4 linked regions of the Sus scrofa genome follow. The protein of the gene in region 4 purifies or fractionates together with the protein of the main gene of each other region. This does not show direct contact. Links are inferred from orthologs where the notes say so. Each region holds a gene or a part of one and is shown on either strand. Other genes may lie near its edges.

Evidence for each region.
Region 1: the proteins of MAGEA10 (region 4) and FAM216A purify together in Homo sapiens (affinity purification with mass spectrometry; 3 studies listed by BioGRID and IntAct, counting the BioPlex papers as one, with this or other methods). This does not show direct contact. The link is inferred for Sus scrofa from reciprocal best matches to the Homo sapiens genes MAGEA10 and FAM216A.
Region 2: the proteins of MAGEA10 (region 4) and QSER1 purify together in Homo sapiens (affinity purification with mass spectrometry; 3 studies listed by BioGRID and IntAct, counting the BioPlex papers as one, with this or other methods). This does not show direct contact. The link is inferred for Sus scrofa from reciprocal best matches to the Homo sapiens genes MAGEA10 and QSER1.
Region 3: the proteins of MAGEA10 (region 4) and FOXJ2 purify together in Homo sapiens (affinity purification with mass spectrometry; 3 studies listed by BioGRID and IntAct, counting the BioPlex papers as one, with this or other methods). This does not show direct contact. The link is inferred for Sus scrofa from reciprocal best matches to the Homo sapiens genes MAGEA10 and FOXJ2.

What each region holds. Positions count from the first base shown.
Region 1 is NC_010456.5:31,848,701-31,852,865, reverse strand, and holds the start of FAM216A (protein FAM216A), read right to left. Parts: upstream 2,832-4,165; 5' UTR 2,626-2,831; coding exon 2,534-2,625; intron 934-2,533; coding exon 893-933; intron 1-892. Other genes in the region: GPN3 (GPN-loop GTPase 3), read left to right, coding at 3,370-3,417.
Region 2 is NC_010444.4:27,987,950-27,991,514, reverse strand, and holds part of QSER1 (glutamine and serine-rich protein 1), read left to right. Parts: coding exon 1-1,801; intron 1,802-3,565. UniProt on the Homo sapiens protein: Plays an essential role in the protection and maintenance of transcriptional and developmental programs.
Region 3 is NC_010447.5:63,060,457-63,064,810, forward strand, and holds the start of FOXJ2 (forkhead box protein J2), read left to right. Parts: upstream 1-1,521; 5' UTR 1,522-2,658; intron 2,659-4,354.
Region 4 is NC_010461.5:123,400,277-123,403,317, reverse strand, and holds MAGEA10 (melanoma-associated antigen 10), read left to right. Parts: upstream 1-1,402; 5' UTR 1,403-1,408; coding exon 1,409-2,515; downstream 2,516-3,041. UniProt on the Homo sapiens protein: Not known, though may play a role in embryonal development and tumor transformation or aspects of tumor progression.

The sequences.
Region 1 (4,165 bases), on a different chromosome or scaffold from region 4:
ATCCACTGAGTGAGGCTAGGGATCAAACCCACATCCTTATGGATACTGGTTGGGTTTCTAACCCGCTGAGCCACAACTAGAACTCCCTCAGCAATTCCATTTTAAAACAAACATATGCATATGAAATAAACAGTAATATACATATAGGTGTATGTTTCCTAGGTAACTGTAAGGAATATAAATTTTCCAAGGAAAAGTAAAGTGAATTCAAGTTTATATATCATTGAATTGAAATTGCTCCCCCCCACAAAAAAATAATTAGATGGTCTTTGGGGGCCTATCTTAACCTCTTACCTCCAGCAGTTCTAGCCATTATTTCAAGTGAGAGGAAAATAGTAGCACTGAGAAATATTTTATGTTGTTTGAAGTTGTACAATTTAGAATTTTTCCTTCAATCTGTTATAAACAATTCTTTTCAGATTCACTGGTATTTTGAAGTACACTTTTTTTTTTTTCTTTTTAGGGCCACACCTTTGACATATGGAAGTTCCCAGGCTAGGGGTCAAATCGCAGCTGTAGCTGCTGGCCTCCGCCACAGCCACAGCAATGCAGGATCCGGGCCGCATCTGCAATCTATACCAGAGCTCATGGCAACATTGGATCCTTAACCCACTGAGTGAGGCCAGGGATTGAACTCGAGTCCTTATGGATACCAGTTGGATTCAGAGCCACTGAGCCACAATGAGAATTCCTTAAAGTACTCTCTTAATGTGAGATATCTTAATAGGAAACAACCTGCTGGATTATTCTGTGAAAAAAAAAATACATATATATATGTATGTATATTTAGGGGGGCACCTTCGGCATATGGAAGTTCCCAGGCTAGGGGTCAAATTGGAGCTGCAGCTGCCAGCCTATGCCAGATAGGTATTAATTTGTGTGCTCTACTCACCAGTTCCTTTGGAATTCTGGTAGTAAGAATATCCAGCTGATCTGTTTTTTAAAAAAAGAATGTAAATAATATGCAATACCTGATGGCTTTATAAGCATTAAATAAAGTATTTTAAATGAAAAAAGGACAGTACTGCATATGCTTTTTAGTTTTCATTTTTTCATCAAAAATAATGTCTTGCAATTTTTTTCTTCTAATTCTGGTTATATCCTAATGACTCCAGGCTTTTTCAAAGTGGGTTATCTGAGATTTTCACAATACTATAAAGGATTTACTTTAAGCCAGATTTGGCCTTACTTTTTTTTTTTTTTTTTTTTGTCTTTTTGCCTTTTCTTGAGCCACTCCCGTGGCATATGGAGGTTCCCAGGCTAGGGGTCCAATTGGAGCTGTAGCCACCGGCCTACGTTACAGCCACAGCAACTCAGGATCTGAGCCGAGTCAACCTCATGGTTCCTAGTCAGATTCGTTAACCACTGCACCAGGACGGGCACTCCCATGATATTCTTTACTTTTAATGAAGTAATTCGGGTGTGGAAAGGACTATCTTGTTATTTGTTGTATGTAATTTAAGGTGTACTGGAAGTGATAGGATGGTCTGCAATGTTTCTAATTTTGTACAAGTTCATTTTTTCTATTCTCAAATTAAGACAAAACACTCTCCCTTTCCTCTTCCTGCAACTTATTCAGTGACCAAGAGTTCATTGATCCCCTGATATACTAGGATCCAGAACTTCACCACTTTACCTTGAGAAAAAGAATATATATATATATATATATATGGGTCACTTTGCTGTACAGCAGAAATTGACAGAACATTGTAAATCAAGTATAATAAAAAAATTTAAAAAAGAAAACTTTCACCAAGCACTGTGAAAAATAGAAAAGAAACACATGACCCTATCCCATCTTTAAAATTCGTCAATCCACCAAGTATATTAAGACAGCCATGGGGTGCAACAGGAGCCATGACTGTGGGCTTGAGAGGAATACCGGGCAGCTCTCACTTTTAGGGAATAATGGATGCAAGGGATGAGGAAGTAACTTCAGCAGCTAATTGTCTTCAGCATCCAGGAAATAATAGTAAAAACCTCCTCGAAATGAAATGGATTTATGAAGAAAGGAGTTACTGAGTAAACAAAATGTCAAAATCAAGGCGCCTCTAATATTCATAGTCATCTGTCGCAGATTATGAATCCCAGTTTAACATAAAGGTGGCTAATGTCACACACAGGTAAGAGATTTATTGATTTGGAAGCGCTCGTTTGAGCCTCTATTCCCATGGTGCCCCCAGCCAACTCCTTTCTGTAGAAATACTACGGCCAGACGGCCAATTTTCCAGCAGATTTCGTAGCGCCCCCTCGGGGCAGAGAGGCACCCAGGCGATTGCCGCAGTCACTGTGTTTAGACAGTCACTGCACCAACCCTCCTCCTAAGCTTCCCTCAGAAGCCCTTCCCCTAAACTGTGCGTAGGCTTCCATATTTCCCATCTCGGCCATAGCAAAGGTTCTCCTTTCCTCCCACTTCAGGACACTGGGGACCAGTCCTTCAGAGCAACCAGTTCCCACCCCCTCCTCTACATGGGGATCACGAGCAGGGGCTGGTCGCCGTCCTCCCAAACCCCTCAGGGCCCGGCAACCTCACCCGCCGCAGGCACCCTCGGTCCTGGCCACTGCGGAAGGCTCTGCGGAAGCACTGCACTCCGTCCAGTCAGACACTGGACCCTGGCCAGGCATCTCCTCCCAGGTGCCCGGCCCGCGAGCTGCGTGCAGGAGAAGCTTTCCCCTTTCCCCTCCCCTGTCGGCACGCGTGCGTCAGACCCGGCAATATTGGGGATGAAGAGGCGGACGCCAGATTCTAGCCCCCTCCGATGCAATCCGGACAGTGCCCGAATAGCTTCGGGAGAGCGGGGAGGGCAGATCCACGATCCTAGAGTTAAGTTGGGGGAGGGGCGGGTATTCTTCAGTTGACTGCGCGTTTGTACGTTTGCATCTTTCTGTGGAAGGGATGCGTCACGGAAAGGAAATGTACCTTCCCTCTAAAATGAAAGTTGCCCTCCAACCTTAGTATTCCAGACCCTCTGCAAATTTGCAGATCTTCAGGGTCACCATATAGGTCAAACATAAATACGCAAACCCAGGACCAAAGCACCCGGCTTAGGGATGCAGAGGGTTATCAGTTGTCCGTTATCACCAAGGTAACCAGACTTCGCCAGTTTCTAAACCGGAGGTCCGCCAAATACTTCTGCGCATGCGCAAAACCTCCCCGGGCATTTCGCAGAACGCGTTTCACGCGGGATTTGGCCTTCGGGACGCTCCGTAATCAGAGGTGTGGCAAAACAGAAGGCGCAAGAAGAATTCGAATTGCGATTGGTTTGTACGTCTTGTGCCCGGAACTCAGGGGGCGTCGCGCGAAGGCTGAAGGGAGTGTGGTGTTCAGACTTTGTGTGAGTGGCGGCGCCAGGAATCGGGGAAGCCAGCATGCCTCGCTATGCGCAGCTGGTCATGGGCCCCGCTGGCAGCGGAAAGGTGAGGATTTGGCGGGAGAAAAGTCGAGGTTCGTGGAAGGAAGGAAGGAAGGTTGGGTCCAGAGGGAGGAACTGATGGCTGTGTGTGTTGGGGGCCCTGAGACCCTGGGCATCTCGCTTATGTAGCCTGGGCTTCGGTTTCCTTTTTGTTGTTGTTTTGAAAGGGGGTTAATGATATTTGCTAATCTTTATTGCATACTTAAGCCCCAGGTCCTGTGCTAAAAAACATTTCCACAACCGTGTAAGATAAGTGTATTATTCCCGTTTTGCAGGCAAGGAAAATGAGATACAGAAAGGTTAAGTTTTTGCCCAAGATCGCACAGCTAGTAAGTGACGGCGGGAATTTGAATCTATTTTGACTAACCGCAGAATCTGTACCTGTCGTTAACCCAGAAAGCTTAGGCGGGGTCTCGCTAATTACTGTTTCTCAGAGCTTGAGATGTGGACTTCTGGTATTTGAGGCAACTTTAGGAGAAACATGGGCCTGGCATTAATGAACATTGATTGAATCATACATTGAGAAATTTGATTTTCGGTTGTTTGTTAGTTTGCTTTGAGGTGAAATCATCAGTTTGTTGCTAGTACATCTTCAACACTTTTTTCTTTTCCTTTTTTTTTTTTTTTTTTTTTTTTTTTTGTCTTTTTAGGGCCACACCCACGGCATGTGGAGGTTCCCGGGCAAGGGGTCGAATCAGAGCCACAGCCACAGCTACAGCAACACAGAATGTGAGCCGCATCTGCGACCTACA
Region 2 (3,565 bases), on a different chromosome or scaffold from region 4:
ATGCAAACTCCACAAATAAGGTTGAATACTAAAGACCTAAACCAGCAGCATTCTCTTATCCAGAAGGTACATGAAGCCAAGGCCCAGGAGCAGCATGATCAAATAATTAATACATCATCTCAGATTCAAATTCCAAATCATGCCTTAGGGCATGGCCATCAAGCATCTCTTCCTAATACACAGGTCCTTTTAGACTCTGCCTGTGATTTACAAATTCTTCAGCAGTCAATACTGCAGGCAGGTTTAGGACAAGTAAAGGCAACTTTACAAGTGCAGCGTGTTCAAAGTCCTCAACAAATAGTACATCCTTTCCTTCAAATGGATGGTCATGTTATTCAGAGCAATGGGGATCCTTCTCAGCAGCAAATCCATCCTCAAAATTCTGAAATTATGAAAATGGACCTCTCTGAGTCTACAAAACCATTACAACAACATCTGGCAACAAAGGGCCATTTTAGTGAAACAAATCAACATGATTCAAAGAATCATTTTGTGTCTCTTGGATCAATATGTTTCCCAGAGGCAATGCTTCTCAGTGATGAAAGAAATATTTTATCAAATGTAGATGATATCTTAGCAGCTACAGCAGCAGCTTGTGGAGTTACACCTTCTGATTTTACCAAGTCAACTTCAAATGAAACCATTCCTGCTGTTGAAGATGGTGATTCTAAATCTCATTTTCAGCAGTCATTAGATGTTGGGCATGTGACTTCAGATTTTAACTCCATAGCAGCTACAGTAGGAAAGCCACCAAATATAAATGATATTTCCCTAAATGGAAATCAAGTTACTGTAAACCTTTCACCAGTACCTACTCTTCAGTCAAAAATGACTCTTGATCAACAGCACATTGAAACACCTGGTCAAAGTAAACCTTCTAAACTAACTTCGCCAGTGATTGGACCAGGTCATGAAGCCCAGGAGCAAAGTTCTGGCCCTTTCAAGAAGCAGTCTGCTACCAGTCATGAGTCTGAAGAAGACAGTGAAGTTCCTGTTGATAGTACTTTAAATAACAGAAATCAAGAGTTTGTTTCTAGTAGTAGAAGTATAAGTGGAGAGAGTGCTACTTCAGAGAGTGAATTTACTTTAGGGGGTGAAGACAGTGGTGTGTCAGTGACCCCAACTAGGAGTACACTTGCACTGTTGGCCATGGCCCAACCTGGGGAGCCAGTCAGTGTCAAGGTTGAAGAGGAAAACCAAGACTTAATACATTTTAACCTTCAGAAGAAAAAAACTAAAGGAAAAGGGCAAACTAAAGAGGAAGACAACAGCAATCAGAAACCACTGAAAAGACCTGCCCAAGGCAAACGCCAGAATCCAAGGGGAACAGATATATATTTGCCGTATACTCCCCCTTCCTCGGAAAGCTGCCATGATGGTTATCAGCATCAAGAAAAAATGAGACAGAAGATCAAAGAAGTAGAGGAAAAGCAGCCAGAAGTCAAAACAGGATTTATTGCCTCTTTCTTAGATTTTCTGAAATCTGGGCCCAAGCAGCAATTTTCCACTCTTGCTGTACGAATGCCTAACAGGACTAGACGACCAGGAACCCAGATTGTTCGTACGTTTTGTCCCCCACCACTTCCAAAGACTGCATCTGTAACACCCGCACCTTTAGTATCTGAAACCGGGGGTCACAGTCCATCAGAAAAAGTTGATAATGAACTTAAAAACCCAGAACATTTATCTTCACTTTCTTCTGATGAAGAGGATCCTGGAGTATGCAGTCAAGATGTTTATAAAAGCTCCTCTACTACTTTAACTACTTTGGGTGCTACTTCTGATAGAAAGAAGAAAGCAGGTAAAATTTTAAAATTTAGATTCATAGTTAGAGCTTTCCGCTTTTTTTTTTTTTTTTTTTTTTTCCCCTGGCTCCAGACCAAGTTTTAAGCTTTCTTAGCTTGAAGCAGGTCTGCAGATTTTCATGACAAAGTACATAGGTAGCTATCTTGAGACTTTTTTTTTTTTTTTTGTCTTTTGTTGTTGTTGTTGTTGTTGCTATTTCTTGTGAGACATTTTTTAAAGGCTCCTTACCTGTAGGAAAGTTCTGGATTTGAGGTTGAGTAGTTCTGTTGGGGAGGGGGTGGCTTTTTGCCACATGAAACATAATTTGCATAGTATGCTATCCAGATTTTTCTAATCTGGGATATCTTAAGATGGTTTATAGATACGAAGTATTGTTTTGAGGGCCCTGTTATTGTATAACCTGGCATATTTTCTTGCTACAGCAATTTTGCCTAAACATTTTTACTCTTAAATACAGGCTATTTTGTGTGTGTATGCAAGTTAATATAATTAAGTTAAAACTTTAAAATTTTTGTGCTGGCTCCAAAATATATGCCTAAATCTTTGGATGTGTGTTTGATTTTACTCTGTAGTTAAGGGAACATTTAGAGGAACTGTTTTGAGAAGCACTGCTTTATGTAAGTAATTGACAAGTAGTATAAAAGTTTCTATTTTAGGAGCTCCCATTGTGCCTCAGCAGGTTAAGAACTCGGCCTAGTATCCATGAGGATGCAGGTTCAATCCCTGGCCTCATTTGGTGGGTTAAGGATCCGGTGTTGCCACAAGCTGCAGTGTAGGTTGCAGATGTGGCTTGGATCTGGTGTTTCTGTGGCTGCAGCATAGGCCTCAGCTGTAGCTCTGATTCTACCCCTAGCCTGGGAATTTCCATATGCTTCAGGTGCAGCCCTAAAAAGAAAAAAAAAAAAAGTTACCATTTTAAAGAATATTCTAAGAAAAAATATTTATAAAAATGCCAGGAACTAGTAACGGTGTTGTGAGATGTGCATTATATCTCTAATATACAGATGATATAACAGAGTAAATGAGCTAGTGACAACTGAAATCCAAATTCAGGTTGGTCTGTTTCTAGGACTTGTAGGAGCCTAGCTCTTTTGTATGAATAGAGTGGTGCTCTATGAGTTAAACCTTATTTTGTGATACACTTTTCTGCTTCTCTGTGGACTTGAGACTACCTTTTTTACTACTAAAGTGATATGAAACAGCTGGTATCGCATATAATCTATTAGCATAAATGTCTGCTAAAACGTTTCTAAAGAACTCTCATTTTGTTCTATAGAGATACTAGCATAATGGAAAACCATCTTAAGAGTCAGAGATATTATGGATGTGGCTAATCCTAGGAAAGTTTTACACTCTTCTCCCTCAATTCAGAGTGCTTTGCAATTACTGTTATATTCCCTCTTGCATACCTAGAACAAACCTTTTATAATCTATTCTAAAACGTGAATCTAAAACTAGTTTCTTCCAGACAGCTGTTACTATCCCATTTTTAGTTCAAAGCATCACCATCAACCCAAGCTTTATGAATAGGTCGTTGAAGTTCTCTACCGTTCCTATTGCCTCCTCATCTGTGAGAGCTCATGCCATCTTGCCTGGCCTGTTGCAACAGATTTCTAATTAGAATCCTTCCCTCCAGTCTCAGGCACCAGTCCATCCTCCGCTAGTCATCACATGTATCTTTATAAAAAAAGAAAACCAATTGTTAAATACTTTTTGGTGCTTCATGGGAAAAAATTAAAATAATGTGTACAAGTTTTCC
Region 3 (4,354 bases), on a different chromosome or scaffold from region 4:
TAAAATAGGTTTAATAATAGTGCCTATGGCTAGAAGAATTAAATGGGATAATGCACGCAGAGCTCAATTCCTGGCATATTGTAAATATAATGTAACATATATATATATATATATATATATACACACATAAAATATAGTATTTTGTATTTAGCCAGAAGACAAAAAAAGACTTAAATGTGAAATGTAGTGATCAAGCCCTAATCTTAAGTATGCAGTCTTTTTTTTTTTGAGCAATTGAAAAATATTTTATGGGTGATATTTTTGCTTTCTTATTATTTGATGTGATAGAAAGTAGAGTAGTTTGAGACAAGTTTAATAGGCCGGAGGATGAAACATATAAGAATTCGCAGAGGAATAACATGATTCCAGGAGGAAAAATGGAGGTGGTCTGCCTGGCTTACCTTCTGTCTCTAGCGCGCGCGGGGGAGGGGGGGATTATTATGCAAAGGGCGAAGAACGAGAATATTCTACACTATGTGACCAGGATAAGATATGCTATATGATTGTGAAGTGAACAATATTTTGTATCCTTTGTACACCGTACAGTTTAAAAAAGCATTTTCAGGAGTTCCCGTCGTGGCTCAGTGGTTAACCAATCCGACTAGGAACCATGAGGTTGCGGGTTCCATCCCTGGCCTTGCTCAATGGGTTAAGGATCCAGCGTTGCCGTGAGCTGTGGTGTAGGTCTCAAACGAGGCTCGGATCCGGTGTTGCTGTGGCTCTGGCGTAGGCCGGTGGCTACAGGTCGGATTAGACTCCTAGCCTGGGAACCTCCATATGCCGTGGGAGCGGCCCTAGAAAAGGCAAAAAGACACACACACACACAAATAATAATAAAAAAGCATTTTCACATAAATGAACTCATTTGATTCTCACAACAGTCTTGCCGGCGTGGGCCCAGAGAGTATCAGGATCCCCTCTTGCTGACCAAGATTCCATAGAACAAGGGCTTTGCTCAAGTTTATAAAGCAAGATTTTGTGATGTTTAGTCTGGAATTTTCTCTGTTGCACGCCCATTTATCCTTTTCTAAATTCATTCAACAAACATTTATTGAACTCCAGGGTGACACCAGGGTAACATATTAACTTCGCTCCAACCCCATAACCCCGTGTAAGTTATCCCAGGGGGAAGAGAAGCCCGTCAAAGACATTCCCGAGAAAACCGGAGATCTTCATCCGTATATAGCAGACAATGAGAAAAGGTCAGTGTGACAGAATTAGTGTTGAAATGAAATTGACAGTTCTTGTGGCGCGAACCGGGGAATCTCCCGACAGACAGCAGTGGGTTGTCATCCAGGGTGGATGCGCAGGCTGTATCCGGCCAAGTGGCGGGGTGGCGGCCGGAGGGGGCGAAGGCGGCACGCGCCGGGTGCCGCGGGAGCGCGGGTGCGGCGGCGCGGCTCCCCGGGCGCAGCGCACCCCCGGCGGCGCGGCCCGCGGCTCGGCGCCGCCCGCTCCTCCTTAACCCGCGCGGGGAGGCGGCGGCGGCTGCGGCCCGGCGGGCGGGGGCGGGGGAGGGGCGCCGAGCGCGGCGCGGAGGCCGGGGAGGAGCCGGGGCCTGCAGCGGAGCCGAGCCGAGCCCAAGCCCCAGCCGAGTCCTGACACCGTCCGTCCGCCTCCTGGCTCCCCGGGAGCCCCGGACTGGCCGGAGCCAGAGCGGTGGCGGCGCGGAGAGCCCCGCGCGCCGGAGCGAGCGGAGCGGACTGGACGCGACTGGAGGAGGCGCGGCCGCCGCAGTAGCCAGTGACGGGCGTCGGGAGCCGCGGCCTCCCGGCCTCTGCTGCCCAGGCCAGCTCCGGGAGAGCGGGGAGTACGAAAACCCCACCCTCCGGGGCACCCCAGGAGAAGAGGCGGGAGCGGGGACGCAAGCCACCTCTCCCCCGGCCGGAGAGAAGACCCTTCCCACTAGGGCGAAGGAAAGAAGAGAGACCCCTCTAGGAGCGAGGAAGATCCCCGGACTGGCCCGGGAATAGAGCTCCCGAAGTGGAAAAAGGGGTGATCCTTACCCAAGGAAGCGGAGTGGGACCGCCCCGGCGTGCCTCCACTCCTCCCGACTCACTCTCCGCAGTAGTGGACTTTGGAGGCAGAGAGAAAGGGGGATATGCCTGTGGAGTAGGCGCCCTCCATCCTATCCAGTCCTCACTGGGGAGAGGATTCCTTTTGCTCGGAAGCAGAGGACACTCCAGGGAAAGAAGGGGAGCCGGCTTTCCGCCTTTCAGGAGAGGGAAGAACTCCCCCAACTTCCTTGTACCTAGACAGTGGAACAGGGCCGAGCCCCTCCGCTCAGATCTCCTGCGGACAGAAAGAGCCCTCCGCTCCCGACAGGATCAGTTTGGGGGGGAGGGGGACTCCCCCAAGGGGGAGGAGACAACTCCTGGTTGGGAGAGGCTCCTCCCCTCCTCCCCAGGGTAACCGGCCCAGTGTGGGGGGTGTGCCACCTTCCACAGGTAGGACCTCCTTCTCCTCCCCCTGCCCCTCCCTCCGTGCCTCATCCTCGGGGGACCCAGTTCCCCTCCCCAGCTTGGGAGGCTCAGCCAAGGACAGGAAGAGCCACTGAGGATGAGAATCTTCATCTGCCTTTGAAGAGGGGCGTCCCTCCAACCCCAAACTCCAGTACCAGGTGGTCCCCTCCTTCTGCTGAGGGAAACTTGGAGACAGGTTAGTGCTTTCTTTCCTCTTCTCTCCCTCATCCTTAGGCACCAGTGGGCGTCGGGGGCTGAGATGGTGGCTCTTGGGTTTCATTACTGGGCAAGGTAGAGAATCTTCTGGGAAATGTGTTCTGAAGCTAACTGGATCGAAACCCTCATCTTGCTGCAGGAGCTCCGAGCAATGGGTTTCTTTAGTGTTTGGGGGCTACAAGGATGGGAGTCATCTGAGGTCCCCAGGGAAGTGTGTGTTTTCATGCCGAGGGCAAAGGGATGTCAGGAAACACCAGCATCTTCAGCACTCCCATATATACAGTGTAGGTATGATGGACAGACACATCCCAGCCAGTCTCTCGTGCCACCCTCCATCCTTGGGCCTCTTCACAAGGAGGGTGGGCCCTCACTAAAGTCATGCTGGCATTTCATGGCCTGGCCTTGTCTGGAGCTTCCATTGGTATCACATTTTCTCATCTGTAACCCTAGATCCCTTTATGTCCACCAAAGCTGTGGAATCTCCAGCCCACTGTGATTACCACCCCCTTGACAAGAAAAGTAGTTGGTCTCCACTCACCCGGCCCGACACCAAGAGGCCTCTTTCATGACATTCCTATTCCTGGCTGGAAGCATGCCTCTACCAATAAAATCCACAAGCAAAATGGGGATCCCATCTCCCAAGGCAGGAAGAAAGGGTACCGGGGAACCCCAGCTCCTGGGTTGAAGTTCCTCCCTCATGCTGGCTGGGTACCACTGCCCCAGGGCACTAGGCTGCTCCTGTCCTTTGCTGACAGTTCCTCAGGAAAAAGCAGATCCAGGAGACAGGAGACGAGGAGAGGAGGGTTGCTGTTCTGCCTCCTTCCAGCCTTCCATCGAAATAAGTTGACCAACCAGGGAGATTTGATCCTTGAGGAGTTTCCTTTCAGAAAAGCACCTAATAGTCTTGTCCTCTCCCTTCCTGTTTTTTGTTCAGTCCTGGGGCTCTGGAAACTTGCATCTAAGTTTTCGTCCAGAAAATAATAGTGGGAAGCACCTCAGCCCAGAATCTTCAGAAAAGGCAAGAAAAAGGTGCCAGGAAATCTGTCTAGCTGAGCCTGAGTTATAGGTTTAGTAACGCTCTGCCTTTCGACCTGCAGTCCCTAGCCAGGTGCCCACTTTCTTGCCTTGCCACTAGGAAGTACCTTTTCTCCTGCAAGGGGTATTAGTGAGTCCAAGTGTGAGGTTTCATCTTATTTGGGTTTTCATGTTCCCTCCTTTCTCTTTCTGGGCATTTCTGGACTGCCCGAGTCCCTTCCATTTGTTCCTGGAAGCGACCTCTTAACTCGTGGTATATGAGACAGGGCTCTAATCCAGGTTTGTTTGGCTGTCCCATGAACGATGTGCATATGTTTCTTAATTCAGGTGGATGTGGCTCTCTCCACATCCGTGCAGGCTGTGGGGAGAGGCACACGTGTGCTTTTCAGACTCAGCCTCCAGTGACTCAGAACTGTGTGTTTCTGGTAGGCTTCTAAAAGCAGGTACCCCTGTGCGTGGATGTGGAGAGGGTGCTGATAAGGAAAGCCTTGGCCTGTCCTGGCCATCTCGAGCCCTCGTGAATGGCTGCCTGAAAGTCACCCCACGTAGCAGGGCAGCCCAGTCTCAGGCTGGGACCCCTTCTTCTAGGACTAATAAGAAAGCTGTACTTTGGATACCTCTGGTCTAAAAAGCACGAGGAT
Region 4 (3,041 bases):
TGACGCCCCTGAGGCAGTGAAAGACTGAGGGGAGCCTGGACTCTAGGTCACAGATCTCAGAGAAGCCTGTCCCGGAAGTCACCCCTGGGAAGCCACCCCAGGGTGGGAGTGATGAGCACGTGACCACGTGTCCTGACTTCCTGACATCCGGGTCTCAGACTGGGGACCTGGTATAAAAGGCGGGGCCTCCAGAGGGCAGACAGTGAATTCCAGGTCCAGTTAGGAGTTAGGGTGAGGCTCCTGAGGGAGGACCGAGCAGCTCCTGGACCACAGGTCAGAATCAGCCTGGGGATTCCCCGTGGGCGGGATGAGCACACTAGGCCTGTCCTGCCTTAGGCAGCTGCAGGGTCTCAGAAAGACTGGGGACCTGGAATCAGGGGTGGAGCGCCAGAGGGGGAGGGGCCCAGAACCTGCTGGGAATCAAGGTGAGGCTCCCGAGGGAGGACTGAGGGGACCCTGAACCCCAGGTCAGAGGGACCTCAGAGAAACTCGCCCCTGCATTCTACCCTGAGAGGCCAGAGGGCAGGATGACCACAGGCAGAACTTCCTGACATCCAGGTCTCAGAGAGACTGGGGACCTGATGTAAGGGGCGGGGCCTCGGGTGGGCAAAGGGGAGGGTCCTGTGCTGCCTGAGTCAAGGTGAGAACCCTGAGGGAAGACGGAGGGCAGCCTGGACCCCAAATCAGAGGGGATCTCAGAGACGCTCACCCCGGAAGTCCGCCCTTCCCACCCCCCAAGGCAAGATGAGCATGTGCCATAGTCTATACCCAAGCTGTCCCTTCCATTCCTCTTAAAGGAGCTCCAGGAACCAGAAGTGAAGGCCCAGGCGTGTGGCCTGCGTCCTCAAGTCACAGAGTAGGAGGCCCAGGCCGTGCAAAGGCAAAGGTGAGCAGAGGAGGGAGCCCTGAGGGGACCACCCACCCGGCAAGAGTCCTGTCCACCCCTCCTACCAGCACTGGGGGCCCCAGGCTGTGCCACGGTCTACACCCACAGTGGCCCCTCAATTTCTCTTACAGGGTCTCCAGGAACCAGAGGCGAAGGCCCAGGTGTGAGACCCACGTCCTTGTGTCACAGAGCAGGAGGCCCAGGTGTCCAGGTGAGGTGTGTGCCCCGAGTGTGTACCTAAGGGCTCCCCATCCCAGAACAGAGGGGACCCCACAAGGCCAAGTCACCCCACCCTCAGGGAGCCCCAGAACCACAAACTGCTCTGGCTGCAGCATGAGGAGCCACCTCACCTCCTCGTTCAGGATCACAGGGGACAGGCTGCCCAGGAGGAGAGCCCCTGTGAGGCCTAAGAGCTCCCCTAAGGAGAAGACCTGTAGGGAGGTGGCTACGGTGCTCAGCCCAGGCCCCTCGTCCCCATCTGTCACCTGCCCACATTCCTTTCAGCTGTCCGGCCCTCGCATCATGCCTCATGCTCCAAAGCGACGGCGCTACATGCTTGAGGAAGGCCATGAAGCCCAAGGCGAGGCACAGGGCCTCGTGTGTGCACAGGCTCCTGTGGCTGATGAAGAGGATACTTCCTCCTCCTCCTCCACCTCCTCCTCCTCTTTTCCCTCCTCTTTCCTTTCCTCCTCCTCTTCCTCTTGCTATCCTCTCATCTCGAGCACCCCAGAGGAGGCTTATGCTCTTCCTGGGACCTCGAGTTCTTCACAGAGCCCTCAAAGTTCCTGTCCCTCCCCCATGGCCGTTGCTTCTGCTCCATTGAGCCAAGCTGATGATGGCTCCTGCAGCCAAAAAGAGGAGGGTCTGAGCACCTCACAGCCTCTGCCAGACACTGAGTCCTTTCCCAAAAATGTGATTGATGACAAGGTGTCTGAGTTGGTGGAGTTTCTGCTCCACAAGTATCGCACAAAGGAGCTGACCACAAAGGCAGAAATGCTGAACATCATCATCAAAGACGTCCAGGGCCACTTCCCTGTGATCTTTAGTGAAGCCTCTGAGTGCATGCAGTTGGTCTTTGGCATTGATGTGAAGGAGGTGGACCCCAGCAACCACTCCTATGTCCTGGTCACCACCCTAGGTCTCACCTATGATGGAATGCTGAGTGATGAGCAGAGCATGCCCAAGACCGGCATTCTGATACTTATCCTGAGCATAATCTTCATGGAGGGAGGCTGTGCCCCTGAGAAAGTGGTGTGGGAAGCACTGAATGTGATGGGAGTGTATGCTGGGAGGGAGCACTTTATCTATGGGGAACCCAGAGAGCTCATTACCAAAGTGTTGGTGCAGGAGGGCTACCTGGAGTACCAGCAGGTGCCCAACAGTGAGCCCGACCGCTATGAGTTCCAGTGGGGTCCCAGGGCCCACATGGAGACCAGCAAGATGAGTCTTCTGGAGTTTTTGGCCAGTGTCAATGGAAGTGACCCCAGATCCTTCCCAGTGTGGTATGAAGAGGCTTTGAGAGATCAGGAAGGGAGAGCCCAAGCTAGAATGACCACTACAGATAATACTACTGCCATGGCCAGTACAAGTTCTAGTGCCATGTCCAGCAGCTGCTTTTGCCCTGAGTGAAATCTAAGGCAAGTTCTTCACTTTATGTTTTACGAGGTCAGTCAATGATCTAAGCAGTACAGGGCCAGGCTGGGGATGAGGGACTGACTCATAGTGAAACATTTTTGTGTTTTTTTTTCCATTAGGGTAACTTAGAAACTAATTTTTTTTAATTTTTGGCATTCAAAAATGTTGTTACTTAACTAATTTTTTTTTTAGCTTCAGAATCTAAGTTTAAGAATGACATTGGTCACACATTTATTGTTGTTTATTTAGTTTAAGAGAAAGAGTTTTGCTATTTTGTAAAATAAATTAGGAAGCCTTCCATTTCATTTGTAGTCTGTAACAAGATAAGATGGCATTAGAATAGGGATTTACTTGGAAATGTGAAATAACTTAGCAGTGAAGAAAAAAATTAGAGTGATTTCTTTTTTAATTCTCATAATTTTTAGTCCACTGTTCTATAAAATTAAGATATATACTTGGGTTTTCTTAGCTTATCCAAGAATGTATAAGAAATTAAATAGTAATAAATTAAATCTATGCT